Lonchura striata: one gene and its partner. Each later gene encodes a partner of the first gene's protein in a complex. Links are inferred from orthologs where the notes say so. Each region holds a gene or a part of one and is shown on either strand. Other genes may lie near its edges.

What was found.
Region 2: the proteins of KCND2 (region 1) and A-type potassium channel modulatory protein KCNIP1 are in contact, whole or in part, in a cryo-EM structure (PDB 7E8E), measured with the Homo sapiens proteins. The link is inferred for Lonchura striata from reciprocal best matches to the Homo sapiens genes KCND2 and KCNIP1. Residues at the interface, in NP_036413.1 of Homo sapiens: Ala2, Val5, Ala7, Trp8, Pro10, Phe11, Ala12, Arg13, Ala14, Ala15, Ala16, Ile17, Gly18, Trp19, Met20, Pro21, Val22, Ala23, Ser24, Gly25, Met27, Ala29, Pro30, Gln33, Arg35, Lys36, Arg37, Thr38, Gln39, Asp40; in NP_001030009.1 of Homo sapiens: Thr60, Arg62, Glu63, Val66, Leu67, Arg69, Gly70, Phe71, Asn73, Glu74, Phe85, Ile88, Tyr89, Gln91, Phe92, Tyr101, Leu105, Phe109, Phe122, Leu126, Leu129, Leu130, Lys137, Thr141, Leu144, Tyr145, Val162, Ile165, His185, Phe189.

What each region holds. Positions count from the first base shown.
Region 1 is NC_134607.1:33,255,061-33,270,204, reverse strand, and holds the start of KCND2 (A-type voltage-gated potassium channel KCND2), read left to right. Parts: upstream 1-6,746; 5' UTR 6,747-6,901; intron 6,902-7,405; exon of another isoform or gene 7,406-7,557; intron 7,558-8,084; 5' UTR 8,085-8,143; coding exon 8,144-9,258; intron 9,259-15,144. UniProt on the Homo sapiens protein: Voltage-gated potassium channel that mediates transmembrane potassium transport in excitable membranes, primarily in the brain. Mediates the major part of the dendritic A-type current I(SA) in brain neurons.
Region 2 is NC_134617.1:17,653,305-17,668,532, reverse strand, and holds the start of A-type potassium channel modulatory protein KCNIP1, read left to right. Parts: upstream 1-7,319; 5' UTR 7,320-7,320; coding exon 7,321-7,420; intron 7,421-7,480; exon of another isoform or gene 7,481-7,533; intron 7,534-7,713; coding exon 7,714-7,838; intron 7,839-13,902; coding exon 13,903-13,972; intron 13,973-15,228. UniProt on the Homo sapiens protein: Regulatory subunit of Kv4/D (Shal)-type voltage-gated rapidly inactivating A-type potassium channels. Regulates channel density, inactivation kinetics and rate of recovery from inactivation in a calcium-dependent and isoform-specific manner.

The DNA of each region.
Region 1 (15,144 bases):
TACATACAAATCTGGAAGGAAACTGAAGGTCTGACATTGTGATGATTTGGTTTCTTATGATCTTGCTTTAAAAATGTTATAATTAAAATTAGATATTTTGTTGCTATTTGATTTATGAATGATGAAACTACAGCAAGATTATCTTTAATTGGTAAACAAAGCTATGGCCTCCTATGAAGCAAGTATGATTTCATTGAAACATACTTCTTTTAACTTGGACAGCAACAATATTGTGCAAGCTGTCAGACTCTTTTAACGGCATAACTTATAACTGAATAGCCTGTGCTGAAAACTGTCTTTGAGGTGAAGTATTGCTAATCATACAATAAAATATTTGTTTAATTTTGTGATGACGATAAATAATTCGTAAATCTAACATCTTCTGATATAGTCCTTTTTGGGACTATATAGATCATAATGATACTAATTTTAGGACAGTTTTTGATTGTAATATTTTTATTTTACAACTTCAAGGATCATATGACATGCAGTAACCATGATATCAAGTCTAACTAAATGTTTCTCAGGATTTGTAAACTGTTGACTCTGCTCCAGGCTAATAAAACCAAAGTGAAAAAAAAAGCCAGCTTTTCTGATTTGTATTTTTTATTATTTTTTCAATTTTATTTTAAAATTAATTTCATGCAAAAAAACTTCATGAGTAATGCTTCACTTTTGTTGAAAAGATATTTTATTTTATCCTTTCTCCCTTTTGGAAGCTTGGACTCAACACTCACCACAGCAATGCCACCAGAAACACCACAAAAAATTATTTCCTCCCTGAGCTGGAGGAGTAGCTTCTATAAATGACTGCTATCTCATTGCTGTTTATGCAATTAGAAAGCAATCATTAACATAAAAGAAGGTTTCTATTTCCTGTTCTGAACTGTGGTACAGGGGCTATTAGCAATTACTGGCATAAAAGGTGCCCCTACAGGCAGCTCTCCAGATGTTCTCAGTTTTGAAGAGTTACCAGCTTCATGCCAGCCTGACTGACCTCAGGCTTCTTTCTTTGCTAAGAGCTGGATGGACTAAGGAAGCGATTTGCAAAGTAAGATAATAACTTTATTCAATCTACTAACTTCTGAAAAATGTTCTATATTCATCTGTGCCAGTGAATGACACATTGTTTCTATTAACTATATTTTTGCACATATTCATCTCTTTCATATAGGAGTCCTATAAAGCTGCTGAAACTTGAAATGATAGAAGTTTTGCTGGAACAGAAACCAGTTATTAAAAATGGGAAGGATACAATTGCAGTCACTCTCAGTCAGAGCTGCAATACTCCTCTCTGGGTACCCTCCACGTCAGGTATTGAAGAGCAGAGCCAATCTAGTAACAAAACAGTTTAGAAAGGATTCGCAGTATAAGAGAGATGGGACTAATTAGGCAGGGAGCCATTGATCGTTGTGAGGTTTTTGCAGGAGTGAGGAAGGTGGCTAGCATCCAAACCCTACATTTCCTGGAATACAAAGAAAAAAGAAGTATCTAAAATGGTAATGTTTGGATGCAGATTGAAAGATTCCCATGCTGTATGTTATAGAGAACAAAAATTAAAAAGACAGTTAAGTCAAAAACTGTGAAGTAAAAAAAAATTGATTTTTAAAATTTTGTTTCTGGAGTGAAACAGGAGTGTTTGATGACACTGAAGATTCTGCATGTGCTTAGGAATGTGGCAGTGGCAATGCAGAGTAAATCTGGCAAATGGCATCTTTGTCATAGGCTTCCCAAAGTGCTTCAGTTCAACCACGAGTATGAACTGTAGTCATTAATTAGTTTTCTGCTTGAATTCACTCTTAGTTTCTCTTTCTAAGGATGTGACCTTAAAGGCACTTCAAGTCCAGGGTAGTTTCCTTTTGATGCAGCAGACTGGCTCAGGCTTTAAGTCTCAGGACCATTTTGCCTAAATGCAAAATATCCTAATGCAAAGACTCATACCTTAAGGACCACAGCCATCCCAGACTGCCTTTTATAGGCAATTGGCAACTGCCTACATACACTGAGATTGTAGGTAGGATAGATTGCTTTCAGGAGCTGTTTCTCCCTCTATTGACTCCAAGAACTCACGGAGAGAAGGCTCCTAATTAGATACCACAGGTGTTTAAAGCTAAATTGGTTGAAATTTGGTCTAATTACACAGACAAAACAATTGTTTGAAGATACCTTATGAAACAAAACATGAATTCAAAAGGAGAAATATGTCTTTATCTAAAGTAAAATTTAAAAGTTACTTAACATTTCTTTGATGGGTACAATATCACTAATCTAAAGAGGAATTCCCAGAACTTAATAAGACTAATAGTTTAACAGAATTAATGTTTCATATAATATCCTATACATCAAGAAAAACATATATAATGACTAAATCAGTATTTGTTGGTTTGGAAAAGTTAAAGCAAATATATTTGAGATCAAATTAGTCCCTTCTTTGGAGGAGTCTATGGTTTTCTTGAGATGATTCCAAATATTGACTTAGCCTCACACTAAGAAAAAAAGAAACTACAATGCTGACAGCTCTGCCTTCATGTTCCAGATTTTAAATCTGTAATAAATACATAAAAAAATCCTTTTTCCACAGAAGTAAGGGTCTTTTTTTTTTTTTAGGTTAGTGGTTGTTGGAACTCAAAATGTCCCTCAGACATTTTTAGAGGTTCCAGGCCTTGGTCAGAAGCATTTTAGATCCCGACAGGCAGCTGGAAACAGCTGTGATTTTGAGTTTGAGCCATGGAATGAGTTACCAACTTTGGAGGTGGAACAAGCAGTCACAAAAGGTTAGATAATATAGTAAAAGTAGTTACAAAACAGAGGGGAATTTTTTTTAGTATTGTACGGGGGGGTTTTAGCATCTGTACAGGGGGGTTTTTACTTTGTACATGGGGGTCAGAAGTTCTAAGATGGAGGAAAGTGGGCGGATCCTGTTCTTCCTCCTTCTTCTTCCTTGCCTCCATGTTCTTGGTGATGTTGGCACTCACAGATTGGTTTAGAGTAGAAAAGCACTCTAGGTAGTAGGTACTGGGGAAAACTGTAAACATGGAACACGTAATATATCATATAAAAGATAGCAGCAGCCCTGGGCGGGAGGGAGAAGAAGAAGACAGCAGATAGAGAGGATGTCAGGGTGTGTGTGTGCCTCTGCCTGGGCCGCTGACCAAGCAGCCGCAGCCCGAGAAGACAATCTTTTAGACAACTCACAATAAACTGCCTTGAGACTGAACAGCAAGAGCCTGTGCAGTTTTTCTTTGGAAGCACGGGTTGGAGGAGAAATTTCACCACCACATGGAACCCCAGAGCAAGCCTGGGGTTCCCACAAGTGGTGGCTATACTACCTTTCAGTTTGACTTCAGAATCTAAAAGAAACGGTGTCTATGGTGCACTCCCTCCATAGTATGTCTTAATCATTGACCAGTGAGAGGTGATTTTTTAATGTCCAGAGCAATCCATTTCTCCACATAGGAAGAAGGACACCAAGCACTTGCACTGCAGAGTGACTTGAGCCTATTTTAGCAAACTCCCAGAAAAATGACTTTTTGTCTTGGAAAAATTACCAAAAGCCTTTTCCTTATTCCGTCTGGCCCAAAGCACAAAAACCAGCTAGATTTAGGAAAAAAAACAAAACAAAAAAAACCCCAAAAAAACAACAACAACAAAAAAAACTGTGAAGGCAAAGAAACTGCAGTCTTTGACTATAGGTGTTTGGGCTGATTCCATGTTTGACCAAAGCACTATTTTTTTTATCTTTGCAAGGTAGAATCAAACATTTTCCTTTGTGAGACACATTCTTAATCTCACAACCTAGTTCTTCAATGGGCCTGTATTCTAGAAATTCTTATATTGGACTTTTGCTACTTAGATGGTTTCAGGAATGTTCCCTTCATTAAAAACAAAACAAAACAAAAAAAGAAGAAAAAAACAAAACTAAAACCAAAACCTAACAAACCTCAAAACAAAACACCATCTGCAGTGTTTTTTTCTCAAAAGGAAACTGTCTTATACTAGACGAATTAAAAAGAGGGGTACACATGTGCTTTCAGTCTGTAAAGAAAACTTGCAGTTTCAAACATTTTAAATATTTAGGAAAAAAAAAAAGCTCATTAATATAAACTTCTGCATCATAGCTGGTAATTTATTTAATCCTCAGAGAGTTCTTTGTGTCTCATGACTTTGGAATGAATTAAGAAACAGCTCATCTTAGAGCCCATTGTGCATTCCCCCTAGTATCATTTTCTTTTTTTCCTACAATTACTAGGATTTATTTTCTTCCCTTGAAAATAGGATTTTTGTCTCATTTGAGTCCCTGCTATTTAATTCCTACTTGAAGTCATAATCCTCCCTGTCACATCACACCAATCTCTTTGTGGCCAATTCTGATTTCACAGGCAGGATTTTGACTTAGAAAGACCTGATTATTTAGGTACACTTTATTTAGCAAGATTTAGTCCTTCTGAAACATATGAAGTAAGGAATACTTCAGCCAGGCAATTTTAATGAATTAAATATAAGGTACTAGCTGTGAAAGTTTGAGTTCCTGGCTATTGCTTCTCAGTAACATATTAATTAAGGAGTCAATAGACTCTATTCTTTTACTTCCAAGACACTGCTTTGGAAAGATGACTGATACACTGGGTGTCCACAAAACTTTAAGGTGAGGCAATCATTTTTCCAGGCAAGGGTGTCAGAAAAGTCTCTATACCTCAAATGGTTTCAAACCTCTGACTTAAAACAGACTAAATGCTATAATGCTATGTGGTACCCAAAATTGTCCAAAAATATAGGGTTTGTTTGGGGTTTTTTTCCATTTTTTTAAATGAAACTTGTAAATTTCTGAAACAACTTTAAGATTGCAACAGGAATCTAGGTGTTTCTCTAATGGCACCCGTTCTTACGGGTTCTCTCTATGAATAGAAAATTCTTTATTGTGAGATTCCTATTCAGGAAAAGCTCTAAAGAAAAAGATCAACTTAAGCCAGCCACTGATTTTTGTAAAGCTAGGCATGTTAAAAAAATAAGAGCAGTTATTGACTACAAGAAGAATCTATAGCTGACAAGGAAACCTCTTTATTTTCAGGAAAGTAAAGCAACAAATCAACAAACAAGTGCAGCAAATATACAGAAAGTATCTTTTATTTAATGTGATATTTTATTTCAAGTGACTTGATATATGTAATCAGTTTTCCTATACTAGAGTTTGTACTCAAACATTTTTAAGCCTTTTCTCTCTGTGCTTTCGAGTATTATTTGAACGAACAATTTAGGCTGTAGGTTAGGCTACAATACTGAAAGTGTTCATCTTTTTCATGGGAACTTAGAAGTGAATATATACTGAAGCTGAGCATATTATTAAAATACAGAAAAGAGTTAACTCCCAAAGTTCAGTGTGTATTTGGTTTATTTTTGCTTTGGTTTTCTTTGGCATATATCTCAAATTGCTTATCAGAGTGGAAGGTTTGGTTGTAAAAACTTCACATGTAAAGGAGCCTATTTATTTTGTGTTTTTTTTTTTTTTTTCAAAACCTCTTACCACCAAACGGAAACACAGGCAAATTAGAAGGAGGAATACCTTCTGGTATCTTCTTGCAAGGTCTATGAAGAAGACATGGAGCGGTTTCAGAATCCTGACTGAAAAATATGGACCGTTCCCTCTATTTATGGGCACTATCAGAGCGGCGCGCAGGGCTCGGGAAATCAGGCGCCCGCCCAGCCCGCGCCCGGCAGCAGCTGGAGGCGCGGCGGGGCCGGGGCGGCGCGGCGCGGGCAGAGCGCCGGGCGCGGAGCGGAGCGCGCGGCGCGGGGCGGCCCGGCCCCGGCGGGAGCTCACTTCCCGTCATCCACGCGCCATCTAGCGTCCGGAAAAGGGACGCGGCTCGGCACGGGAGCGGAACGAGAGGAGGAGGAAAAGGCTCCCACACCCGTCCCAGCTCTCGCCGTTCCCAAAGCTGGTAAGAGCCATTTGGACATTGCAACCAGAACTCCGGAGTGGCTCGGGGCGGGTCGTGAGGAGCATCATACACTTCACTCCCAGGCATCTCATTCCCCCTTTTCTGCAGTGAACGGTTCCCTTTCCCTTGAAAGCAGCTAGCGCTCCCCAGAAATCCCCTCGGTACCTCACCTAAGCTACCGCCGCCGACCGATCCCTACCCCAAGCACCGCGAACTCCAGAGGGTCTGTGCGGCGCTGCCGGCGGAGGGGTTGGACCGCACGATCCCGGCCCCGCAGAGACACGCACCGGCACACGCACGGGCACACACACCGGCACACGCACGGGCACACACACCGGCACACACACCGACACGCACACCGGCACAGCCGCGCTCCCTGCCTGCCCTGCCGCCGCCGGCTCGGCTGCCCGCATCCCTTTTGTTTCGCCCGCGGAGCGATGTCCTGCCCGCCCGCCCCGCGCTTCCCCGCGCCCGCACCGCCGCCCGCCCATGCGCCCCTCGCCCGCGGGCGGCGGCGGCGCGGCGGGGTGGCATGGCCCGCCCGCCTTGGGGGAGGCAGCGGGAAGCCCCTTCCCCGCCCCCGGCCGCGCCAGGGCCTCGCCGCTGCCGCCCGCAGCCCGCGGCAGGGCAGGGGCAGCGGCCGCAGCCGCAGCCGCGCCTGACAGCGGCCCCGCGCCGCAGGATCCGCGCCCCGCAAGGACGTGCTCCAAGAGCTGCCAGGCGCGATTACGTTGTTTTTTTCCCCCCACCCACCCCTTGAACTTGTTGCTTGGCGCTCGGCGGTGGCGGAGGGGGGTGGGGGTGGGGGAGAGCCTTATTATCGATGTCCCTTTGGATGCGATCAAGCTTTCTCAGGAGCAACTACTTCCCCGCCGTTCCCGGCGGGGCGCGGAGATCTAGCGGCAGAGCCCGTATTTCCAAAAGTCTCTATGCAACTGAGCGCTCTCGCCAGACTTTCACAGGTAGGTGCCGCAGACTGGGCACGTCTGGAGCGATTGGAGAGCTGAGCCGAGGGGAAGGGGCGAGAGGAAGGAGGCGGGGGTACGGGGGGAGTGGGGGGAGGGTATGATCCACCACCGACCGCCGAGCCCTAAGGCACCCCGCATCCCTGCCCCGCGCCCCCGGCCTCCCCCGCCGCCAGGGAGCTCCTGCTCCTCTCCCGCTCCACAGCCAGCCTCCCTCGGCTTCGCCTTCCGCCGCCCGCTCGGGCACTCCCGGGGATGCCCCGGCAGCCCACCTACTGCATGTGTCTCCAGAGCCCCCGCCCCTGCCCCCGCCAGCACCGCGGGAGCTCTCCCCGACCCCGGTCTCCTCGCCGGGGATCAGCCCCTGGCCGTGCCCTGATGCTCCGTCCGGGGAAGAGCCCCGCTCTGTCCCCTCCTGCTCTGTGGGGCGCTCCCCGCTCCCGGCGCCCCATCCCCGGCATCCCTCTGCCCTTCAAAGCGTTTCCTGCACGGAAAACTTGCCTTAAAGTTTAATGCTGCCGCCCGGAGCTCCTCCCCCTGCCCCGCCGGCTCCCCTGGCCCCTAGCCGGGATCTGGAGGAGTCCCCGGACGGCGATTAAAGGTCAGGGAGAGGATTCTTCCCGCCGCTGCTCCAGGGCTGCCGCCGGGAAGGGGGGCGGCCCTCCCGGCCCATCCCCTCCGCCCCTCCACGGCGAGCGGCGCCGGCGGCCCCGCTGCGGCCGCCCGGGAAGGGAAGGGCTCCGCCGGCTGCCGCGGCCCCGCTCCGGCGGCGGGCGGGAGCGAGCGGAGGAGGGGCGGGGGGACCGGCTGCATCGCGCGCGGAGGAAAATCTTCCAGGTGGCTGCACAGCTGCACTAGAGCTACTAGCCGGCTCCAGGGGCTAGTGATTTGAGGACTGTTGCTTCCATCCAGGGGCCTCGAATGGAGGGAGACCTTATATCCAAAGGATCTGGCTGTTAGAGATGCTGCTTTGAATACAGGGATTTCCAAGTGCCCTCATTTATTGTCCTAACAGTCTGACCATCACCTGGAAAGCGTATTCTGGGGTGAAAAGGTGGAGGGAACAAAAAGGAAGCAGAAGGGTTTTCAGTTAATACTGAATATCACAAAAATGTTCAGAAATTCTGCTGCCTCAAGAATGTGTGAGAATTTGTATTTTTCTTTTCTCTCTCTATTTTAGTGGCTGGACCAGAACTGTGTCTAGATTGACTCCCTTAGCTGTAATAGGTGTTTGGAACCATGGCGGCAGGTGTAGCAGCTTGGTTACCCTTTGCCAGGGCAGCAGCCATAGGATGGATGCCAGTGGCTACTGGTCCCATGCCAGCTGCTCCACGGCAGGAGAGAAAGCGAAGCCAGGACTCTCTGATTGTGCTGAATGTGAGTGGCATCCAGTTCCAGACATGGTTGGACACCTTAGAGCGCTACCCTGACACTCTGCTGGGCAGTTCAGAGCGGGACTTCTTCTACCATCCTGAGACACAGCAGTACTTTTTTGATCGGGACCCTGACATTTTCCGCCACATTCTCAACTTCTACCGTACTGGGAAGCTTCATTATCCCCGCCAGGAGTGCATCTCAGCTTATGATGAGGAGCTGGCCTTCTTCGGCATCATCCCTGAGATCATTGGTGACTGCTGTTATGAGGAGTACAAGGATCGCCGGCGGGAGAATGCTGAGCGCCTGCAGGATGATGCTGATACGGATCACGTAGCTGAGAGCTCCCTACCCTCAATGACAGCTCGTCAGAGGATGTGGCGGGCCTTTGAAAACCCACACACCAGTACCCTGGCTCTGGTGTTCTACTATGTCACTGGTTTCTTCATTGCTGTCTCTGTTATTGCCAATGTGGTGGAGACAGTGCCCTGTGGGGTAAGCCCGGGTCGCATCAAAGAGCTGCCCTGTGGAGAGCGGTATGCGGTGGCTTTCTTCTGTCTGGATACTGCCTGTGTCATGATCTTCACAGTTGAATATCTCCTACGTCTGCTGGCAGCTCCTAGTCGCTACAAATTCGTGCGCAGTGTCATGAGTATCATTGATGTGGTGGCCATTATGCCATATTACATTGGCCTGGTGATGACAGATAACGAGGATGTCAGTGGGGCTTTTGTGACATTAAGAGTCTTTCGTGTCTTCAGAATCTTTAAGTTTTCCCGCCACTCACAGGGTCTGCGCATCCTGGGCTATACGCTGAAAAGTTGTGCCTCGGAGTTAGGCTTCCTCCTCTTCTCACTAACTATGGCCATCATCATCTTTGCCACAGTCATGTACTATGCAGAGAAAGGTTCATCAGCCAGCAAGTTCACCAGCATCCCTGCAGCCTTCTGGTACACCATTGTCACCATGACAACACTGGGGTAAGTGCAGCTGGTGTTTGGTTACAGCCAACATTTCAACAAGTGTATTGGCACAAACAGAAAAATACTCAATTTAAAAAAACGGTGATTGACAAAAATGTGAGGGTAAGTTTTTACTACAAAACTTTAAGAATACAACTTGTGACTTCCTTCTAGGTGTTTTACATGTTTAAGTTAATAGCATTGCTGAAATTAAAATAACCCAAATCCAAAAAAACTGCAAAAAACCTGAAAAAGCAAACAACAAAACAAAGCAAAAAAGTATTGAAACTGTTTGGTTTTGGACAGCGAAATTGGAATGTTTTATGAGTATGTGTGAGTTATCAGTGGATTTTTAATGGAGTACTGTCTTTGCTGGCAGGCTCTGTTACAGTGTTGCTTAATTATTAATGTTTTTAAGGAGAACCAAAGTGCAAACTTTTAATTTGATCAGTATGTGGATCTGCCATTTTGTTTTGTGTATTGATGTAGACCTGGATATTGAATTTGTTATTACAAAGTGATTTATTTTCATGAAAATCATACCTTGTCTTTACAAAAAAAAAAATTCGTGATTTTATTTAAGACTCTGAACACATTTCCTTTGATTTTCATGGACCTATAACTTTTAAATTATGGGTTTCAAGCTACACCGACTGGTGAGACACTCCAGAAAATGATCTGACGAAGTGTGAGACATATGACACATCAAGCATATATTTTTAAACAATTCTAATGGCAATACAATTTCTTTCAGAGAAAAAGGGTTTAAAAGTGTCACTGTTGACATTAGAAGGTAATGCATTTTAATGGAAAGATGAGAGAAAGTATTATTTTATGAAGTCTCTGATACCAGTGTCTGATTGTATAGCTGATTCTTTGCACCAAGTTATAAAATGCATTTGTCTGTAGTTACAATAGAGATTTAGAAAGTTGACTAATTTGAGATGATAGTTTTTCCCTATTCTTAATTTTGAGTTGTATACCATCTATGAAATTGAAAATTTGTTGATTCATTGCAAACTGACTAGTTATTTAATAATTACAGATACTAAATTACAAACTTAGCACTTTCATTAAGGCAAGCCCATAATTTTATTAGCATTTTGCCATGTCTTGTTGGGACCGTTGAGATTTATGAAACATATATAACTTTTAAATTTAACGAAATGAAAGTGCATTATTAAACTATTATGAAAACTTGATTTATTATGTGCAGTAGTAATTTACTTGGGAAACACGCATACAAAATATTGAAAAAGATAAAAGGAATGTCTTATGCCACCATTTTTTATACAAGGCTTTTATCTTCTGTGTGATATAACAAATGAAGATAAATATAGTGCATAGTAAATATTTCATACTTCTTGTAAGGGCAAGTTATGCTAAAAAGGAGTGACAAGAGCTTTAGGGATTTTAATCCACCTTTTAGTTTCCTGGTTGGCTTTTTGGTTTTCATTTTCTGTTGCCAGTGACAAATGGAAGGGACCAGTTAGAAGAAGAAACAAGTTAGGCATGGTAACTAGATCCACATTCCTGTATTTTCTGATGTTGATCTTTTTACAATTTATTTTTAATTAGAACAGTGATGTTTTAAAGAAAGAATTGACTGATACTTTACTATAAAAAAAACCCAGAAGCTGGTATATGGTTTTTTTAAGTAACAAAGGTACTTTCTGAGTATGTTGTTTCCATGTTCATGAACAATGTGTGAAGTTCTTGTCCATGGTACTGAAGAGAAACTTTTCTTGTTTTATGCCCAAATTGCAACTGATTCCTCCACAGGTATGGTATCATAGATGGTGTTGGTATGATTTGTGTGTTTCTTTTGCACACACACACACACATACACATGTACATGAGTATTATTCTGTAATTCCAGGTTTTAAAGTATTACTCTGAGTAAAATCTTCAAAAGTACTGCTGTAATTTGAACATAATTTCAAATCTCTTTGAGTAGAACCTAAGAACCTGTTTTTACGTATACAACAGCATAATATTTTGGTCCCAAGTGGAACAAAAAGGGTTAAAGAGAATCCTCTCCTGCTTGACTACTTTTTTAAGGTAGTTTGAACAGAGAATGTTTTGAGCATGTTGAACAGAGAATGTTTTGAGCATGTTGGACAGAGATCCAAAGTCTTACCCTCAGGAGTTCAGGTATGATAGAGGTTCAAATATTACAGACATCTCCAATTTTTATGAAATATTTAATCAGTGCATTAGCTAGATTATGTCCTTTTAATAACATCATGATAACTTTGTAAAGATTATGTTTAAATGTTAAATATATATATGTGAATACTTTAAATAAAATTAGCCTAATAAAACCTTTGAAATCTTTTTAGTTGATGGGATAATTACACAAAAGGAGAGGGAAGTTATAGGGGAAAGCATCAAGGGTCAGTGAAAGCTGACTGTAATTCTTACTGATACCTTTTCTGTGTGCTAAAGCTTACCATCTCTTTACTAATATAGAATTCCTGTTCATTTTAACTTTAGTTGTAGCTGAATCAGAGATATATAAATGGACTCAATAGGAACAACTTCTCTCATTTAGAAACAAAGCTTGATTAAGTCTTTATGTTTTAAATGACAGTAGCACACAGCAGGTTATGTGAAATACTACAAAAATCCATGAAAGCTAACAGTGAATAATAGATTAACATAGAATTGAGTTTTTAAGTCTTGGTGTCATTGTCATATTTTTCTAGATAGCAAGGGTATTGAGTAAGCAACCTTTGCAATTTGGGGAGTTATTACCTTGGAAGCAGAGCTATATTTCTCAGTTCTGCATGATTGCTGAGCAATTAAAGTGTCTTTAAAAAACATAGATTGCAGAGTGCTAGTGACTTCAAATATTACTATATTTTTACCTCCAAGGATATCCCAGCTATTAACTGCTCTTGACTGCTCAGCTCATGTAGTACATGTACATGGAAATGTTACATGAAAGAGCTGAAAAAAAATGAAAAGAAGGGAAGAAAGGAGCAAAGGAAGAAAGAGAACAAGAGAAAAATAAAGGCAGAGAAAAAGAAGTGGAAGATGTCTCTAGAAAAATAGCATGCACAATTCCAGAAACTGAACTGTCTGATTTTGAACTTCAAAGTAGTGTTTTATCAGGATTAATTCTGGCAAAAGTAAAGTAGAAACAAGAAGAGAAAATAGAATAACATTAAAAGAGGTCACAAAATATTTTATGGAGATTCAAGATAATAGTGGAAAGCACAGAGGTAAAGAATGAGGTTAGTGTGAAGATGACAGAGAGAAGAGCTCAAGTCTACTGAATTGGGACTGGCAGAACTCCACAGGGGCTTGTGAACATCTACACCCATAATGACAGTTCTGTTGCCTGACAACATGACAATCTAATACATTTCCACCTGCCCCGTCAGGAGCCAGCAAGTGAGCTGAAATAGCTGGTAAGGTTTTGATGGTGTAAGGCTATTGTTTGTTCCCAAGTCAGTCAGAGCTATAGTGTAGTTTGTGTTTTATGAAGATATTATACTTTAAACAAGGAATGTAGTGCTCTTCTGTGAGTAGTTTTAAAGCAATCTCACTGCTGTATTAAAATTCCATTTTTATAGCCTTTACATTGGGTAGCTTTATCAAGTCACACAACGCTTCAGTAGATGAGCAGAATACTTTATGAAAGGAAACTTAAACTCAACTACTCATTTATTTGCTTTCATGTATAAACTAGAGGTGTGTCTTTCAGCAAAGATAAAGCAACTATTTGTTTTCACTATTTGTTAATATAGCCCATAATGTGTGAAGAAACTCACTTAAGGTATATCAAATTCTCTGAAGATTTTATAATAAACAGATTACTAGATGTAATAAAAGAAAGCCTCAAACAGTGAACAAGGGAAGAGAGCAAAGGATTTCCTTTTCCTGCATTCATGTTCTTTGTCATCTTCAGTCTTTTTTCCACTCTTTTTTCATTCCTATGGTATATTGTATCTATTTATTTTTTCCATTATTTATTCCAACTACCACTTGCCATAGTTTTCATGGTTGGGGTTTGTCTACTGGTTGACAGCTTTCCTCCCGTCTTCAAGATGAGGTTAACATTTGTAGTAAGACTTTGATGGCTGTATTTTTTTTTTTCTTCTGCTCCTTTTTTCCAGATTCCTAATTCATCCTTCACCACTAGATTAAATCTTTTGTCATCATTGTCATTCATTGACCTGAACTTTCTTCAGAACAGATTTTTTGTTCTGACCTTTGTTTGATATATTTTTCCTTATGAGCATCATAAAATTTCCACATCAACACTGCTTTTCTCAAATGCCACCACATATTCCCCTTTCTCACCACTGTGCTATTTTCAGTGTGTTTAGTTCCTTATAGTCTCTGCATTTTAGTTGGAAATAATCCATCTCTTTAAAAATTTTATTAAAAAATTGAGTTTAATAAAATCTGACAAGAAAGAACAAAATTCAAAATCTTTGTTTTATGAAAAATTTCATTAAATTTTGGATATATTCTTATCCAAAGAATACACTTATTAGTGTTACAAATGTAAAGATTCACAAAGTTAGAGTATTATTTCTGTATCTTGTACGTACATATTTCTCATTCATTTTTTGTTTGATATTATCAACCCTATTTCAAATAGAATTCCTCTATTTTTGTCTTCTACAACCTCGTGGATTTTGTATTTTACAACTGTGTTTGATGTCTCAATCTATTTTCTCTTCACAGCAGAGACATTTAACCTATACAACAGAGGAGGGACAAAGTGTAGTTGTGATCACCTTCAAAGTACATTACGAGATATTCAAAAAGGGCTCCAGGGAGAATCTGTTATACTAAGGGTCATTTTGATAGCAGTAAAAAAAAAAATTCTTTGATCTGCAACAAAAAGATTACTGAAAATATATTGGGCTGTTGTTGCTTGATAGAAAGCAGAGTAATTGTATTCTTATTTAGTTGCACTGGGCACCAGCTTTTGTATTCAAAAAAACCCTGAAAATCTCTTGGAGGAAAAGGATTTTGCTTGTTTCACTCATTTGTCTTGAGCATGAACTTCCTTAGTTCAGTTATGAATAACATGAAGGTGATGCTTAACAAAAAGATTTTTCTGCTCAGAAATATATTTGCTCCTTTGGTAGAAACAGATGGAGTTTTGTTTCCTTATTGTTACTTTGAGACAAGAATAAGAACAATCAGATTACTGTGGACCTGGATGTAGCATAGAAATATTCTTAGTACAGCAGAACTAATTATGTCGGAGAGTAATTATGACTAGTGCTTGATCTATTAACTAGGGCCTATCATTCAAGTAATCATCAGTGAATACTGTCATTTTAGTAGAATCTTTAAGTGATCAAACCCAAGAAGTTCAAACTGAGTGATGACAATCTGTGATTCACATTGTTGTGTCTTTGTCTAAAATGAAATATTTGCAATATAAAAACCATATAAATCCATGAATACAGTATTTGAAAGAGTGCCTGCCATGCAAAAAAAAAAAAAAATCTGGAAATGAAAACTGTATTTCTGAAGAGGGGAACATAAATACTGCAGAAATAAAGTGACTATTCAAAATAAGTTCAGAACAATTTGCAACTTCAGGGTGACAATTAAGTTTTCAGACATTTGAAAGAGGGTCTAGTGAATTACTCCTTTTATTTGATTTTCATCACATTATACTCCATTCGCCAAAGTTCATAATATTTGTCACAGCAAGCTAATGAGAGAAGAATCTGGTTCATCAGGGGTTAAGATGATAGATTGTTCCAAATAGGGAGTATAAATTAGAAATACAGAAATTGTTTAGAATCAGCCTTAACAGATTTCATTAGTTACATGACAATAGAGTGATGGGAAAGATGCTGTATATTTCTGTACCTATCATTTACTGGGCAATAGATAGGAGTACAGGCTTTTCGGGAAGACATATTC
Region 2 (15,228 bases), on another chromosome or scaffold:
TTTCAAAATCCTCTTGATTTCTTATTTAAAATTCCTGACCTCAGAAGAAATCAAGGGAGCATTCACAAACCTAATTCCACCCCCTCTCATCGGGACCTTTCTTAGTGGAAATAGACCAATTTCTTTAGCCCAGTCTTTTTCTATAGTGTTATAAATGAAAATTTATTCAGCCAAATTAAAAAATAAAAATAGTTTTATTTGTGGTCAAATTCTATCTAGCCAGCCATGAAAAAAAAACAGTGCCGAGCCCGGGGATCGACCCTGGGTGTGCAACAAGGAGTCAGCCTCAGGAGAGGTTTTTCCCCTATGCCCACACGCCTCCATCCTGGCACAAGCGGTTTTTATAGGGAAAATTCCACCTGAGGCCAAGATTTTCTGCAATCAGTCTTTTCTTCTATTTAGAGTCCATATGTTAATAAGATTTTCTCTTGGAGATGAGGGAGAATAATTCAGTGTCCTGAGTTGTTGAATCCCGTGATGAAATTTACGGGAACGCTGCATTCACATGTATCTGTCTGAGGATTTCCATGATACCCATCTCGGGTCATTCACGCGATGATCAGCACCTGGGGTCCCCCGCAGCTCTTCAGACATGGCCCATCTCCTGGCGAGCTGTACCTTCTTACTTGTAAATCAGTTTCCAATATACACCTTGAGGTGTGTATATTCAGAGAGGAGAAGGGGGGGTGGGGGGGGGAAGAGGCTAGTACAGACGAGTATAATCTAACAAGTATTTAACATTATATATTCCATACAAGGAATGGCGCAAATTATGTTTATTACCCATAACATATAGCCTTTCTCACGTGCTGTGAGGAAGAGTCTGGAGAATGTTGCCTCCTAACTGAACTTCCTGTGTTCCTATAAGGGGAACAGATAGAAAGACTTTCTCGGAGCTGAGGCTGCGGTTCCCGGGGAGCGGAGCTCCGGGCAGGAAGGGGGTGAGGGCAGGGCCGAGCGCCCAGTCCTGGTCCTCCGAAGGCGGAGCCCGGGCAGGGTGTGCTGCCGGAGCCGCTGCAGGAGGGGCAGTGCCGGGGGCACCAGCCGGGAGCGGGATCGGCCCGCCCGCGGTTAGGGGCGGCTGGGCCGGTGCTCCCGGCAGAGGCAAAGCAGCAGCGGCGGTGCCCAGCGCAGCCGGGACGGGCAGAGTCGCCGGGGCTGGGGCAGAGAAATCAGCCGCGGGAGGAGCCCCGGGATGGGCCGGGCGGGAGCGCCGGGAGCCCGGCGGGCGGAGCAGCCGGGCGGGCCGGGGCCGGGGCCGGCCGGGCAGCCGCGAGCAGCGGGACGGGGCCGGGCACAGAGGCTGCGGGCGGCAGGACGGGACCGGGATAGGTGGGGCCGAAGCGAGCGGCTTGCTGTGACCCGGGACAAGCACCGGGACTGGGGCAGGCGGGACCGAAGCGGGCAGTGAGCCGGGGCCCGGGACAAGCGGCTCGGCCGCGAGTGGTGCGGCGCGAAGAGGAATGGAGAGGGCAACACCTGTGAAGGATCCCACTCCTTTTCTTTTCTTCTTTTTCCCTCTTGTTCCCCTCCCTTCTCTTTACCTTTGTCTTCTTTTTTACTCATTTCCTGTCCCATTTTCCAAAATCTTATCTTTTCATTCTATTCCTTTGTTTCCCACATTCTCTAACAACTTGAATACCACCTTCTTTCAACTACACAAAAAGTCCTTTTTCTCACAATATCATTTAACACAATATAATTCAACACAATCCACCTCCCTCCAAGGAAATAAAGTAAAGCTTAAAATAAACAATCTACATTACATATACTTCTATTCATCTACATTTACTCTCCTTTATCTCTCACTCACTCACACACATTGACACCCTCAAGCCTGTTCATTCATAATTATTGACTTCACAATTCTGTTATATATACTTTCATTTGCCCACGCTCACTCTTTTTTTCACTCGCTCTCACATACAAGGTACCTTTTACTTTCAAACAATCTATATTACATATCTACATATCTACATTTATTCTGAGTGCTCTTGGAATGTAACCCTCATCCATCAACCCAGGAGGTTTAATCCTGGATGTCTCTCCATTCTGCAGGATTTTAACACACCTCTTACACTTTTAGGTGTTACTGGCCAGTTCGAGTGTTCTTGGCTATCCCTCAATCCAACCGTAACCCCAGATTCTCTTGGATATCCTTCAGTCTGGCAACTCTGAGTGCTCTTAGGATGTTAATCCCTCAACGTAGCAAATTTATGCTCCTCCAAGGAAAACCCTCTCTTTTTACCCTTTTATTTTTCTCCAATTAATTATGCCAAAAAAACCTCTTTTTGCCTTTTAATTACCCAATTAATTATGTCAAGAAACCCCTCTTTTTATATTTTTATTTCCTATCCCCCCCACCAAGGTGTCCCACTCCTTCCCCGAGACCCAGTCTCAGGTTCCCCGGGGGGGTTTCTCTCACTCTTGTTTTCACTCACTTCGTCTCTTTACTGGCCGCTTTTCTTGTGAAAAATACGGAAAGGCAGCATGGGAGACTCCGCTCTCACTTGGCAAGTCTGGGATAACCAGCTCACCTCTCATTCACACGCATTCATCCCCCCTTATCCACCCCATCCCAACAAATACCTATTCTTTGTCCTTGGGTCTTTGTTCTTCATGTACACGTTAATCTTAGGGGCTAATTACTGCGGTTTTAGGGAATCCTTTCCCTTTTCTTTGTTTTATTGTCTCCTTTTGTCCCTGGATTAAAACCTGTGTCTGTCGGTCACACACCAGGGGAACAGAGCGAGGCTGCCCAAGCAGGGCAGGATGCGTCTCTTCACTCCGAGTCTCCTAAGGCACCGGCAGAGAGCTGTTAGTAACCATCCTCTGCTACCATAATTGTGAAAAATGCCAATCACTTGGTTTTTAAAATTTTAAAAATTTAATAATAATAAAATGGTTATAAAAATAGTAATACAATTAGAGTAATAAAGTTTAGAGTTAGGACAATTATAAGACAATAAAAAGCAAAGAATTACAGACGTCTGGATGCTCTCAGACACTCAGTAATGAAAAGCTTCTCTTGTGAACAAAGGAATACCCTTAAAAGCAATAGCCTGTTGCATATTCATATATCTCATACACAATGCATAAATTCCTTGCAAATTAAGAACTTTTCTGGTTTTTGTCAACTTCTCTTTAATCTCGTTGGTTCTAAAAAGATGGAGAGAAGGTCGAAGAATGTTTGTCTTTTCTGATAAGGAGGCAGTAACTCTTTATGGGCCCCGTCACTGACATCTCTGTGTGAAGAGTTTCTTCATTAGCTTATCTTCTTGCTTGAGCTTATAACAAATCTTATATTGTAGAGTTTTTATTTTAACATTATGTTGTAATTTAAAACTACATTTAACGCACTACTTAAAAGAATTAGTACAGCATAACTTTCTAACATTACACATATAATATTTATTGTAACATTTGTGAAAAGCCAATCATAAAATATGCATTTTTCACAACCCCAGAGCTCTTGCCCGGCTCCTGCCCTAATGAACACTTTTGCACTCAGGCATTGAGTTATTTTTCTTTGTGAAATTACCAAAATATTTGCAATTGATTTCCCACAGGCAAGACCTGTTTCCTGCAAGACCTGCCCAAGAGCACATTCTGTCTGGAGATTAATTTCAAGTATACCGTGGGTAAACTAGATTAATTTTTTTCTTCAGGTCCTTAGTCCTAAAGTATAGATTTTTTTTTAAATAAAACTAAGATGCAGTCTAATAATTCTTGCATGTAATTTAATCCCCTTCAGCTGTATTTGTAAAATTAACCATTTCATCTAACGCCTGTCAGTTTTACAATTAACAATGGGCACATTAGCTACACTTAATGCCTTGACTGTTTTCCTTAGCAAAACGTGAATTTATTATGAGCAACTTGTTTTCAAAGTCCTCCCATGAACCACGAAAACTTGTGTTCTGCATTTTCATATTGCAGCCTTCCGATGCAGGGGACAGTGTAATTTACATCTTTATTGAAATCATTGGTTACACTCTCTGGCCAGCCCTAGCACTGTATGAGGCTTCACTATTTCTCATTTGGCAGGCATGTGGGCTGGAGATGCTGCAGGATTGCGCCTGAGGAAGGTGTTAGGTGCTTTTCGATGCTTGTTTCCCCAGCGCCTGTGGCCCAGCAAACCCAGCCCTGGGCACAGTCCGGGGGTGCAGGGGCAGCTGCAGGCACCAGCAAGGATGAGCAGGCTCAGAATCATGGCAGCTCAATCCCAGAGCTGAGGCAGCAGCTGGGGAATAACACATCATTGTTTTATGGCACACAAACGGGCTTTGGGTTGGTGGAAGGTGGTCCTGCTTGTGGCAGGCGGTTGGAACTAGAGGATCTTTAAGGTCCCTTCCAGTGCAAACAGTTGTCTGAAATGCAGGGCCATTTGCAGGCACTTTGAATATGAAACTTCCCAAATTGTAAAGATAACAAAAGGTAAAATTGGAACAAATATGAAAGGATGAATAAAGCAAGCCTCATTAAGTGACTTCTGAAGTGTATTCTGCTTAAACATCAATTTGCCTTAAGGAAAATTTGCTCTCTGCTCTTCAGCAAGGAGCAGTGAAATGAAAAAGTCTCTTTCATTAGCACCAATCTACATATATATATATATATATATATATATATATATATATATGTAAATATACATGTAGTTGCAAGTGTGTCAAGATTATTTTTCTTTGTAAAGTGAAGTCACTGTTTGGTTTCCATTATGAAAGGAAATGTGCATATCCTATGGGCTAAGCAAATACAGATGCTATTTTGCACAAAAATACAAACCTAAGTGACTATTTTAACCTGGGCCTACACTGGAGTAAGATTATCACAGGTGTTTCTACTGGACACAGACCTCATACCCTGCTATTAAAGCAGCCACAAAAATATGGGCAGAAATAAATCTGAACTCCAGAAATGTTACATCCCATTCTCCCATTTTAAAACACATTGTAAGGAAAACAGCTAAGTGAATGCTCTGTACCAATTAAACAATCTTCAGCCTAGGACACAACTCACTGCAGCCATCTGGTATGGAAGGGATTCATCCTGTGATGATTTTGACAAGTGTTGGAAATAAAAGCAGAAAAATAATAAATTAGCATTTATCAGTATGTGTAAGCAGAAGAAGCCTTCTGCATTAGTTACTGCTTCCACCAAAACCCCAAAAAAAAAAAAAAAAAAACCCACAAAAAAAACACAAACAAACAAACGAAAAATCCAAACCCAAACAAACCAGCTTTGCTAAGGCTCAAGCTCTCACTGAGCAGTTGGATGACATCCAGCCCTTGAGTGTGTGTCTCCATCAGCAGGGCAGGGCTGTCCTGCCAGCTTGGAAAGCATAAGGATGCTGTAAGCACCAGGCAGGTACAGGTGTCACTGAGCTGGGGAGGTGGCCACACTCACCCCTCACAGTGGGCGCAGTCAGTCCCAAGGTCTGTTCATGCATCAGTGAATGGAAGAAGAAAATTAACTTTAAACCAGAAGCAAGGTTGTTTCCTACACTCAAATCTTTCAGGAGAAAACTGGAAACAAGGCAAAACTGAGGAAGAATGTGGTATTAGATAAAATATCTTAACATCATTCCTATTAGTTTAAATTTGCATGTGTTTATGTATATACACTTCTGCTTGCACTCACCACCCTCAGTGAACTTCAGTTTAATAAAATTGTAGTTGTTATAAATGCAAGCACTCATATTTCATACAGTGACACCTCTGAAGAGCTGGAGGGACTGAGCCAGGATGATAATGAAAATGCAAATCAAAGGAACTAAAATGCCCATGATAAAAAGCGAGAGCAGAGGAGGAAGTGCCAACCTCCTGTTTTGCCACTGAGGTTTCTGTGGTTAATTTATAGGGTATCAGGGAATGGAAGAAACAGGTTGAAAAGAGCTGACTTGAGAGCAAGCACTGAAAGGAAACAACGAAAAACCCCAAATCTTTGTGGAGGGTGAAGACTATTGAGGTGGATTTTCTTTTTCAGCCACTCATTTCTCATCCCTCATTTTAAATAATTTCTTCCCCACAATTTTCTTTCTTTACAGCTTCTGCATTCCTTTGTTTTGTGTCGTTAATTCTCATGCAAAGAAAATGGTTTTTTCCCCTTATTTCAAATTACTTTTGCCTGTAGCAGATGTCCTTTTACATTTCCTTTCTTCTAACAGGAGGTGTAATTTCTAGACTCTTCCCCTTTGTGTGGGTAAGGTGTGTACTTCAGACTTCTTTTGGCCCCTTGCCAGCCTTCAGTCCCTTTTTTTTCATCATGAACTGTTGATACTCTGCTCCTGTCCCTTGCTGTTACAGCCTCTCACCTTTATTCCCCTGCTGTGCAAGGGACCTTCAGAACAGGATTTAGGAATACATTTTATCTGTTCAAGGTCTACAAATACTGACTTTGATGTTGCAGATGTGGTGGATTAAGAGCATAGTTTAATTCACCAATATTTTGAACCAGTTCTTAATACTGACAAAATGAACCAATGTTAATTAACCACTAGCATTTACTGACATGTGCCCTCCCTTAATAATGATCAATTTAATCTGTGTATGTATATATATATATATATATATATGTGTGTGTGTGTGTGTGTGTGTGTGTGTGTGTGTGTGTGTGTGTATCTCTGCAGAATTAATTAGCTTATGAAAATACACCTTTGGGCTGGTCTGTTCTTTCACTGAGCCAGCCAGCTCATGAGTTTGTGAATCTGAATTCATGCCTTTCCTCTATTCCTCTATTTCCTTGCAAATTTTGATTTAAATTGTTGACTTACAACAGAAACTACTATATTATGCTTGAGCCAAATAACCTAAAATGTTTTTATAAGATAAGAATTGTGCAGTTTTTGACAATAAGGGGAGTGTTTGCACTTATGCAAGCAACTTTTGGGTGTGGGTTGGATTTTCATGTCAGCTGAAGGCTGGACCTGGTCCTTGAAGTTTAGAGAATCTCAAACTGATAGACACTAAATATCTATGTATTTGGGCATTACATACAGTTCTGAGGGATGGGCTTGAAAGGGGAAAACATGCATCAAAAATTAAGTGAAGTTATGGTAATTCAGGATGTGATAGTATTTTTCATCCTTGTAGAAGAACACACTCTTGAATAAAATGCATAGAAGTGTCTTTCATTTTTTATCTCTTTCTCCAAAATGTCCTTCTAAATTCAGGGTGGATTAATTCCAGATTCTGCAACTGTGGACAAAATTTGAATTTCTCCTGGGACTAAAGTGACCTTCAATATCTCTAGAGCAAGCTTTTTGGTTAACGAACAGAGGAGTTTCCCTCACTGTTTAACCCCAGTATAAGGGCATTGTCTGATATGCCTGAGCATGTCTGCTTTCTCAGAGATAATTGCACAGCTGGAAAGCTGAAGTCAGTACTTTGGAAGTGCCATTCCTTCACGCTGTCTCAATATTTAGGTATGAAATGTCTGTGGTTGCCTTTTGGATCAATGTGTCTGCTGTTGTCCTGCTGCTTTCACCAACATTTTGGCTTTGTGAATGGACAGCTAATTGGCAGCCCAGGAAAAAATGTGAGCTTTACTCCTATGGCTTTTATTTTGCTTTCAAGAGGTTGAAAACATTTAGACTGATCAGTTCTGTTGATGGTTTCTTTTTGATCTGTTGTTCTTGAAATCCTGTCTGTCCTCTCCATCATGTTAAAAGAGCAAAAGTAACAACTAAAATAAATATTTTCCTGCCTTCTCTTTCAGATAAAATTGAAGATGAATTAGAAATGACGACAGTGTGCCATAGACCCGAGGGACTGGAACAGCTTGAAGCACAAACCAATTTCACTAAAAGAGAACTTCAAGTTCTTTACAGAGGATTTAAAAATGTAAGAACGGTATCGCAATGAACAGTCTAATATCTATGTCCTCATCAGCCTCAACTGCTCAGCTCGATTTTGTATTATTCCCCTGCAAAGCATTACTAGTTTTGTATAAGATCTCCCATACCACAGCAAAATGAGCACAATCTGCCTCTCCATCCAATATTTATGACACTGCAATCTGCCTAAAACTGGGTTTGGATGAATATTCAGCACATAATGGTCTCGTTAAATTTGTTCCTCAAATGTCAGTAAGCACAATTCCATTTCCTCAGCTGTGCCAATACTTGAAGATAACCTGAAAATATTTTTATGCCTACTTATTTAAGCCTTGCTGTCATCTCCTCATGTTCAAATATAAGTGGTACTGTTCACTTGTAATTAGGTGCCCAGGATGGAGATTTCATCCCTTCTCTAGCTGCAGAAATCTTGCTCTTGTAGTAGAGCACTTTAGGACTTCAGGGTCCTGTATAAGTAGGGAATAAGGCTGGAGTGGCAGGAGCCAAAGCGAAATCAAAACTTGAATGTGTGTTAAGACTGAGGAGACCAGAGAGAGGCTGCAGATTTCTGGGCAAGCAGGCAGCAGTGCCAGCTGGCATGACTGAGTGTGAAGAGCAGCTCTGTGCCCAGACTTGTGAGCCACCATTCCAGCAAGGCTCCCTGGGAGCCCAGAGTCTGCAGCTCCTCAGCCTCAGCCTGGCTCTGTTTCTGCCTCTCAGGGGCTCCTCACAATCAGGAGAAATTGATGGGAAATGTTGAGGCTTCATGGAGCAGATGCTTTATGGACCTTGAAGAATGAGTACTCATTACATGTTTGCCTGAGGGTCAGGATTTAGTCACCCAGGTGGTTTGTGCCAGCTGATGTTTTAATGGTGATTAACAGGTCAGAATCAAACTGGCTCAATAAACACAGGATGTTTTTTATATTCTCTTGCAGGACAGCTCCAGCATTTAGAAACCATTACAGCAGAATGCTGACATTTCTCAGTCAAGTTTATTGTGTAAAAACTTGTCAAAAGAAAGCTGAGCTACCTTAAATACAGGCAGTTCTGAAGAACCTGTGGGTCTTTGAGAAAAGCCCTTCTTTTTGAAAGGTTTTTGAAATTTGATCAGATTACATTTCCAGTGTATATTTGACTTTTCCAAGGAGTCTGGTGGTTTCACCCTTTAATTCACTGCTCACCTAAGTGAGCCAAAGCACAGCTCAGCTTTCTGTATTTTTGGTGGTGTGTGTGGCATATTTCTGCAGCCTTTGATGCACACAGGAGGTCATTTCATGTGTAAAGTTGCCTAACTGAACATTGATATCTCTTTATGCTTTTGCCAGCCAGCAGACAATCACAAAAAGAGACAAAACTTGGCAGGTTAACACCCTGATATGACATGACTGCCTACAGAGTGAGATTAAACCCAGTTTTGCTAAGATCTCTACAGTGCCTTCTGTATCACTGTCAGGTGGGAATCCTATGTGGGAGAGCTCTGCTTTGTGCTGGGGGCATTTGCAGCTACAGAGGCAAACCAGTGAGGCAGACCTGGAGCACTCAGCACACAGGACCCTCTGCCTTTCCCAATTCTGCTCCACTTTGCACTACAGAGTCATTACTTCCCAGGGCAATAGTGGCAGACAAGGGCATTTAACTTGTGACCTAAACCTAGGACATCACTGAAAGTCTTGATATTAATTGGCAGTGATGGCAATTAATTGGCAGTGATGGATATTAAGACATATCTAGATATAAACCAAGACTGTTTTTATCCAGCTGATCTACACATAATATATGCAAAGTTTCATGTATAAGGTTTAAATGAACATGAAAGTGCAACTTTAACACTGGTAGCTTGAAAATCCTGGTTCCAATAGGATGGGTAATTATGTACAGGAGGCAAACTGGCTCATCTGTTACCGTATTTGCTATTGTACCAAACAGTCTGTTCCTTGGGATGATGTTACAGTGACATCTGGAAATTCAAAATCCCTGTGGGAATACAATAATTTTCCTCCCTGGCTCGTACTTACTGTTTATTCTCAGTGATTATTGCACAGGTCCTGTTTAATCACAAGGCAACACCTGGATAATCACAGAGCCATTTGCAGGAGCTGGTGTAGGGGACAGAGGCATGAAGGTCCTAGCTGCAGAGGATTTGGTGTGCAGGAGCAGGGATGGTGTTCCACCAAAGGCAGCTCAGCACAACCTGGGCTGGCCTCTGGACTGGTCCTTGTCTGACCAGGGTTCTAATTCTCAGTACCTTTAAAGCTGTTCTTTCTTTGTCTCTGAATTCTGTTCCCGCCCCCCACCCCCCAGATAATCCCAGTCTTTACCCAGGGTGTCACTAATCTGGCCTGGTGTTTTTGGCCCAGAGTGATAGAGGTTGCCACTAAATTCATTTCCAGAGAAGCCAAGCGTGCTAACCAGGCCTGTATTATTGCTGCGTGGCCAAATGTCCCCTCTCTTTGCCTTCAGCTTGCCTTTCCAGTTGTGAGAGTGTGCCACCCTCCAGCATCTCTTGGTTCCAGGACCAACAGTTCACATTTATTTAGCAGTTGCCTGTGCCCACTTTATGTGAATGGTCTCCTTTGCACCTCTCTGTTAGCTCTGGTAAGACTGGAGCCCGGCTAACATGAGGTGTTTGGTCCCATCTCTTTGGTTGGGATTCTAAACAAGTAAAGTGACAGGCAAACCCATCAGAGCTTCTGGTGGGTCTTGCTTTGGTACAACTTAACAAAAGAAAATGTGATACTTTCTGTCTACAAAACCACCAGAATTGTTTGAGCTAAACAGCATTATTGGCACAGGAACAGAATGGCCATGGATAGGCATAGGCTGAATTAGAAGAAGATTTCTGCCCCCACAGAGGTTTGGTGGCCAGTTATGGAATTACAGGGAGGAGAGCAAGGAAATATTTTTATTATTAAAATTGATAAATTGATGTCTAATTAAGTGACCAACAATACGGAGATTTGAGCTCAGTAATTCAGGATCTTCCATCTTAGGCCATGTTTCATGGCTTGCATTCTTTGGAATCGAGTACATGGATTTAAAATAACTGGTGGTTTTGTAGGTTTTTTTTGCTCAGTTTGGGAAGGTTTGTGCTGTTAGGGGAAATGCTTGTTAGCTACAAGAGATAATTTCTTAATATTGAATCAGAAAAGACAACCCAAATGACTGAAGGGTTGCTGAAGACATCCTTACCTTGCTTTAGTATGAGTACTTTAGCAAATCTGTAACAAAGGGTAGTATGATATGTAATTTTAACAAAGCAGGATTATGGAGGTTAAAGTGAGCAGTACAAGCAAGGGAGAAATATTCTGATACTTTAATAATCCCCAAAACATCTCCAAAGTGGGAGAACATAGAGCAACAAACTACATGGAATGTGTGAGTGCTTAGAGATGCAAATCTGGATTGTGCGTTTGTCTGTGGTTGGCTAATTTGCTACCTCTAATTTACAAACTGTGACCCCTGGGTACTCATCCTCATATTCTGGCCAGCTGAACTGAGGAGGGTCTGAAAGGCAGGGCATGCTCAGCTCCCCTGTGGTCCCTGCATCTCTGCTTTGCACATCTCTGGAAGCAGTCAGTGAAGTTTATTTCTGATTCCAGCAGAGGAAAAATGCAACTGCTGTTTTATTTTCCTTTTGGTTTTGTGGGTGTGTGTGTTTGGTTTTCATGTGGATTCAGCTCCTTTGTGGCATAGTGATTTAAAAGAAGTGGGCAAGTTCAGATGCACAGCTTGTGCTGCCAGAGCTTGATAGTCAGCCCTGGGAAAACGAGGGTTTTTTTCCTGTGCTTGATGACAACACACACAAAAAAATGTTCACTGTTTGGCATTTAAAAAGAATTATTAGGTTAAGGAAATGAGAAGTGTAAACCTAAAACCCTGCTATCAAAGGAAAGCCTTATGAATACTACAGTGAAAGACTGTGTTCTTACTGACAAGGATTTTTTTCTTGAATGAGTGAACCTTTATTAACTTCAGTGGAATTTAAATTGACACTAAGCTCACCTGCTCTGTTTCACAACAGAGATTTCTTTTGAGTCAGCAGAATTAAGTAGTACTATAGCACTAATGAGGCCTCTGGAGCATTATTTGGCTCTTATAAAACAAAAATTGTGATCAATTAACTGCAAATAAATTGGTAGTAGCATATGTGTCTGAAAGCAATCCAGTTATAGAGAGCTAAATGGGCTGATCAATGTCAGCACTGCCTCTCCCCAGAACTCCTAGAACTATGATGCAAACTTTTATTTGGCTTCCAGATGGAGCATCAGAAGCAATAAGGATCACGTGGAAATTCAGAAAATTAAGCAAGCCCAATGGTCCAACTGCCAGGGTAGCCCTTGCCCTTGTGAGAGAGCACAGGCAGCTGCAGCAGCAGCAGCCATGTACACATCTCTGGCAATAAACACAGGGAAGGGACCTCAAGGACTCTGCAGTTGAGGGAAACATCTACAAACCATCTTTCAGCAGGTGAAGTTGTGGTTCTTAGAGAATATAATGGTTCTCTTGTCACAGGAGAGAAGGAAATAAATCTTGATGTAGCACTGTGCTGGAAAGGATGGGCCAGTTGTGCCAGACTTGGTTTTAAAAAGAATGACAATTTGGTGAAATACTCTGCAAGGACCCTGTGCAATCTTGTAGCAACAGCACTTCAGTGACCAAGGAGAACACTGCTGCCCAAAAATGGCTGTGGATACAGTTCTAGGTCTGATCAATTATTAAAATATACCATAAATAAATATCAGATTATTTATTTAATGCATATTAGCTTACAAGCTTCAGAAAACATGAATATTTAGGAAATATTTGGGAGAATCTCTTATGGTAGCTGTTAGATTCTATTTAATTATCTTCCTTTGATGATTTCTGCTTTAGAGATGAAAAAGTAACAACTTTTCTTGTGTTAAGAAAACCAGACAACGCATGTTTTAAGAGGAGCTTTGGATCAGTTTGAGAATGCTCATCTAACTAGAAACCTTGCAACCTCCAAAATCATGAGTGGCACATAGAGAAGTTGTCATATTGACTGTTTGCTGGCTCTGTCTAAACAGCAGTTGAGGACTATCAGGCAAGGTAATAGGAGTCAGGTCCAAGTATGGAAAGATGGTGGTTCCTTGTGCAAAGGGTTATATTATATTAAGTTCCTGGCTGAAGCACCTGTGTTAAAGTGGGGCAGGGATCACAGCGTGACACAGAGAGGAATGCATGGAGTGAGTATAATGCCAGGAACAGAGGAACTTTCTTGATTCCAAGTCTGCCATTCAGCTCAGAATAAGCACCAAGCCAGGCTATATGCTCCAGTTCTGTGAGTTTTGTGAGAGGGAGTTAGCCTGCTCAGATAATCCATCTCCAGCACCTCCTAGCAGTAGGGACAGTGCTCTTGCTCCCTCCTCCCTTCCTGATGGGATCTTGGGGAATTAAATGGCTGAGTGCGCTCAGTGCTGCAGCAGGAAACAGGCCCAGGGTCTCTATTGATCAGTGGCTCAGAGTGTGGGAGGAAGCTGACTTTTCTGTCTCTGCAATTCTGTGCTCTGTGAAAAAGACTGAGTGCTGTGGTTATTTTATTGGTTTGCTTTGGTTTAATTTTCAAAATTGGTTGATAGGCAAATTTGAGGAATAGTGCCATCAACTGGGAAGTATTTTTTCTAACTGAAAATATCACATGGTTAGGTAGCAGTGCCCAAGGCTCTGTAATGTATGTTATAGCAGCACTGAGCTGGTGGGGGTGTGTTTATTATTGAGGTTTGTTTGGAAGGACTTAGTGTGCTATGGACTGTTCACCTGGCTACAGTCTTCTGCTGAGGATTAAAAACAGTGATGAAACTGCTGAAAACCCAGTTTTAAATGTTAATAATGTTGAACCAGCTTTGTGAGATGCTTAGGATGAAACTGCAGACTGAATTAATTTAATTTCTCCAGCTGCACATCGTGTGCATGCAAAGTACTATGAGAATAGGCAGGTAATTTGTTTCATTGCTTTCTTTGGGCTTGTAGAGTTTTGCAAATGAACCTTTACAAACCTGTGCTTTTCTTGATTCTCTTTCTCTTTTTAACCTTTTGTTTTCTAACAGGAATGTCCTAGTGGGGTTGTTAATGAAGAAACATTCAAACAGATCTATGCACAGTTTTTTCCTCATGGAGGTAAGTGGAGTGCTTTGTGTCTGTCAGGGCTCTCGAAGTTCTAACATTGCTTTCTGCCAGCTGGCTGCAAAACTGCTGCAGGTCATCCGTGCAAGAAATGGGAATCAAGCTGAAGCTTTGAGGGGTTTTAGACAGAAACACAAACATCAAGGTAATAAAATTTAAGGCCCTTGAACAGTTATTTCACATATAAAAGTGAAATAACCCCCATAAAGATTGCCCCTCGATGTCAACTCTCCATTCCCCAGGTCCAAAACAGAAACTGAGGGTTGATGCTTTGTTCTGTTCAGACTTCCTGTTGGCAGAAAGTGGAATTGCTTCCTCTCCATGTGTCTGTGCTTCCCTGCTGTTGAACTGCTGGGCATTTAGTGTCTAACACAGGAGGGTATCAGACTTCTTTTTAGCCTGAAAATTTATCAAAACCTCCTTGAAATTCTTAAAGCAGTTTTTAGTTGATAAATAAAGTCCTGGATACCTGAAATGATAACTTTTGGTGTTTATGGGACTAAGATAGGGCTAAGTAATGAATGGACATATTAAGGTATTGTATTAAATCTCTTAAATAATACACGTTTCTGCCTTCTAAAAACTTCACCAATCTATGTATTTTAATTGGATGTGTTTTGTGGGAATGTGTGTTCTCAGATTGAAAGAAATTAGTCATTTAAGTGTCATTTTAGCAAAAGATTAAGTATTTGAGGCTTTCCAAAATATCCCACTCTGTAGTAGCTGCAGAACACTCTCTTTGGGGAAAGATGACTGACTTTTCTGCAAGGGTGTATGTGTGCATGTGCATTTACTTAAAGAAAGTCATTAACAAGTGTTTTTTCTACTAAATATCAAAATAAAACACATTATGTTTATGTTTTACAAATGGTAGGACCTCAAAGACATACACCTGTAAAATGTTTGCATTAAATTTCAGCATGAACTTGATGATTTCCTGTTGTGATTTTCTAAATCCAGCAGTTTAAGATTCAAAAGGACAAAAATACGCCTCTAGGTGAGATTGCTCTCCAGCAGCCATGGGTCAATATCAAGTTACTGGAGCAAGATCCTTTTGAAGCTGGGCATTCTCTGGGGGGGGGTCTCTGCTGTTTCTCCTACAAAACAAAAAGGTAGAGAAAGGATGCTGCATATTGCAGTCACTCCGATGTTTTTGCTGTGTTTCCTGCCATTTGAATCAGACACTCGTGGTTGGTGGGGATTTTCTGCTCATTCTTTCAGGCAATGCTCCAAAATCCACCGTAATAAAA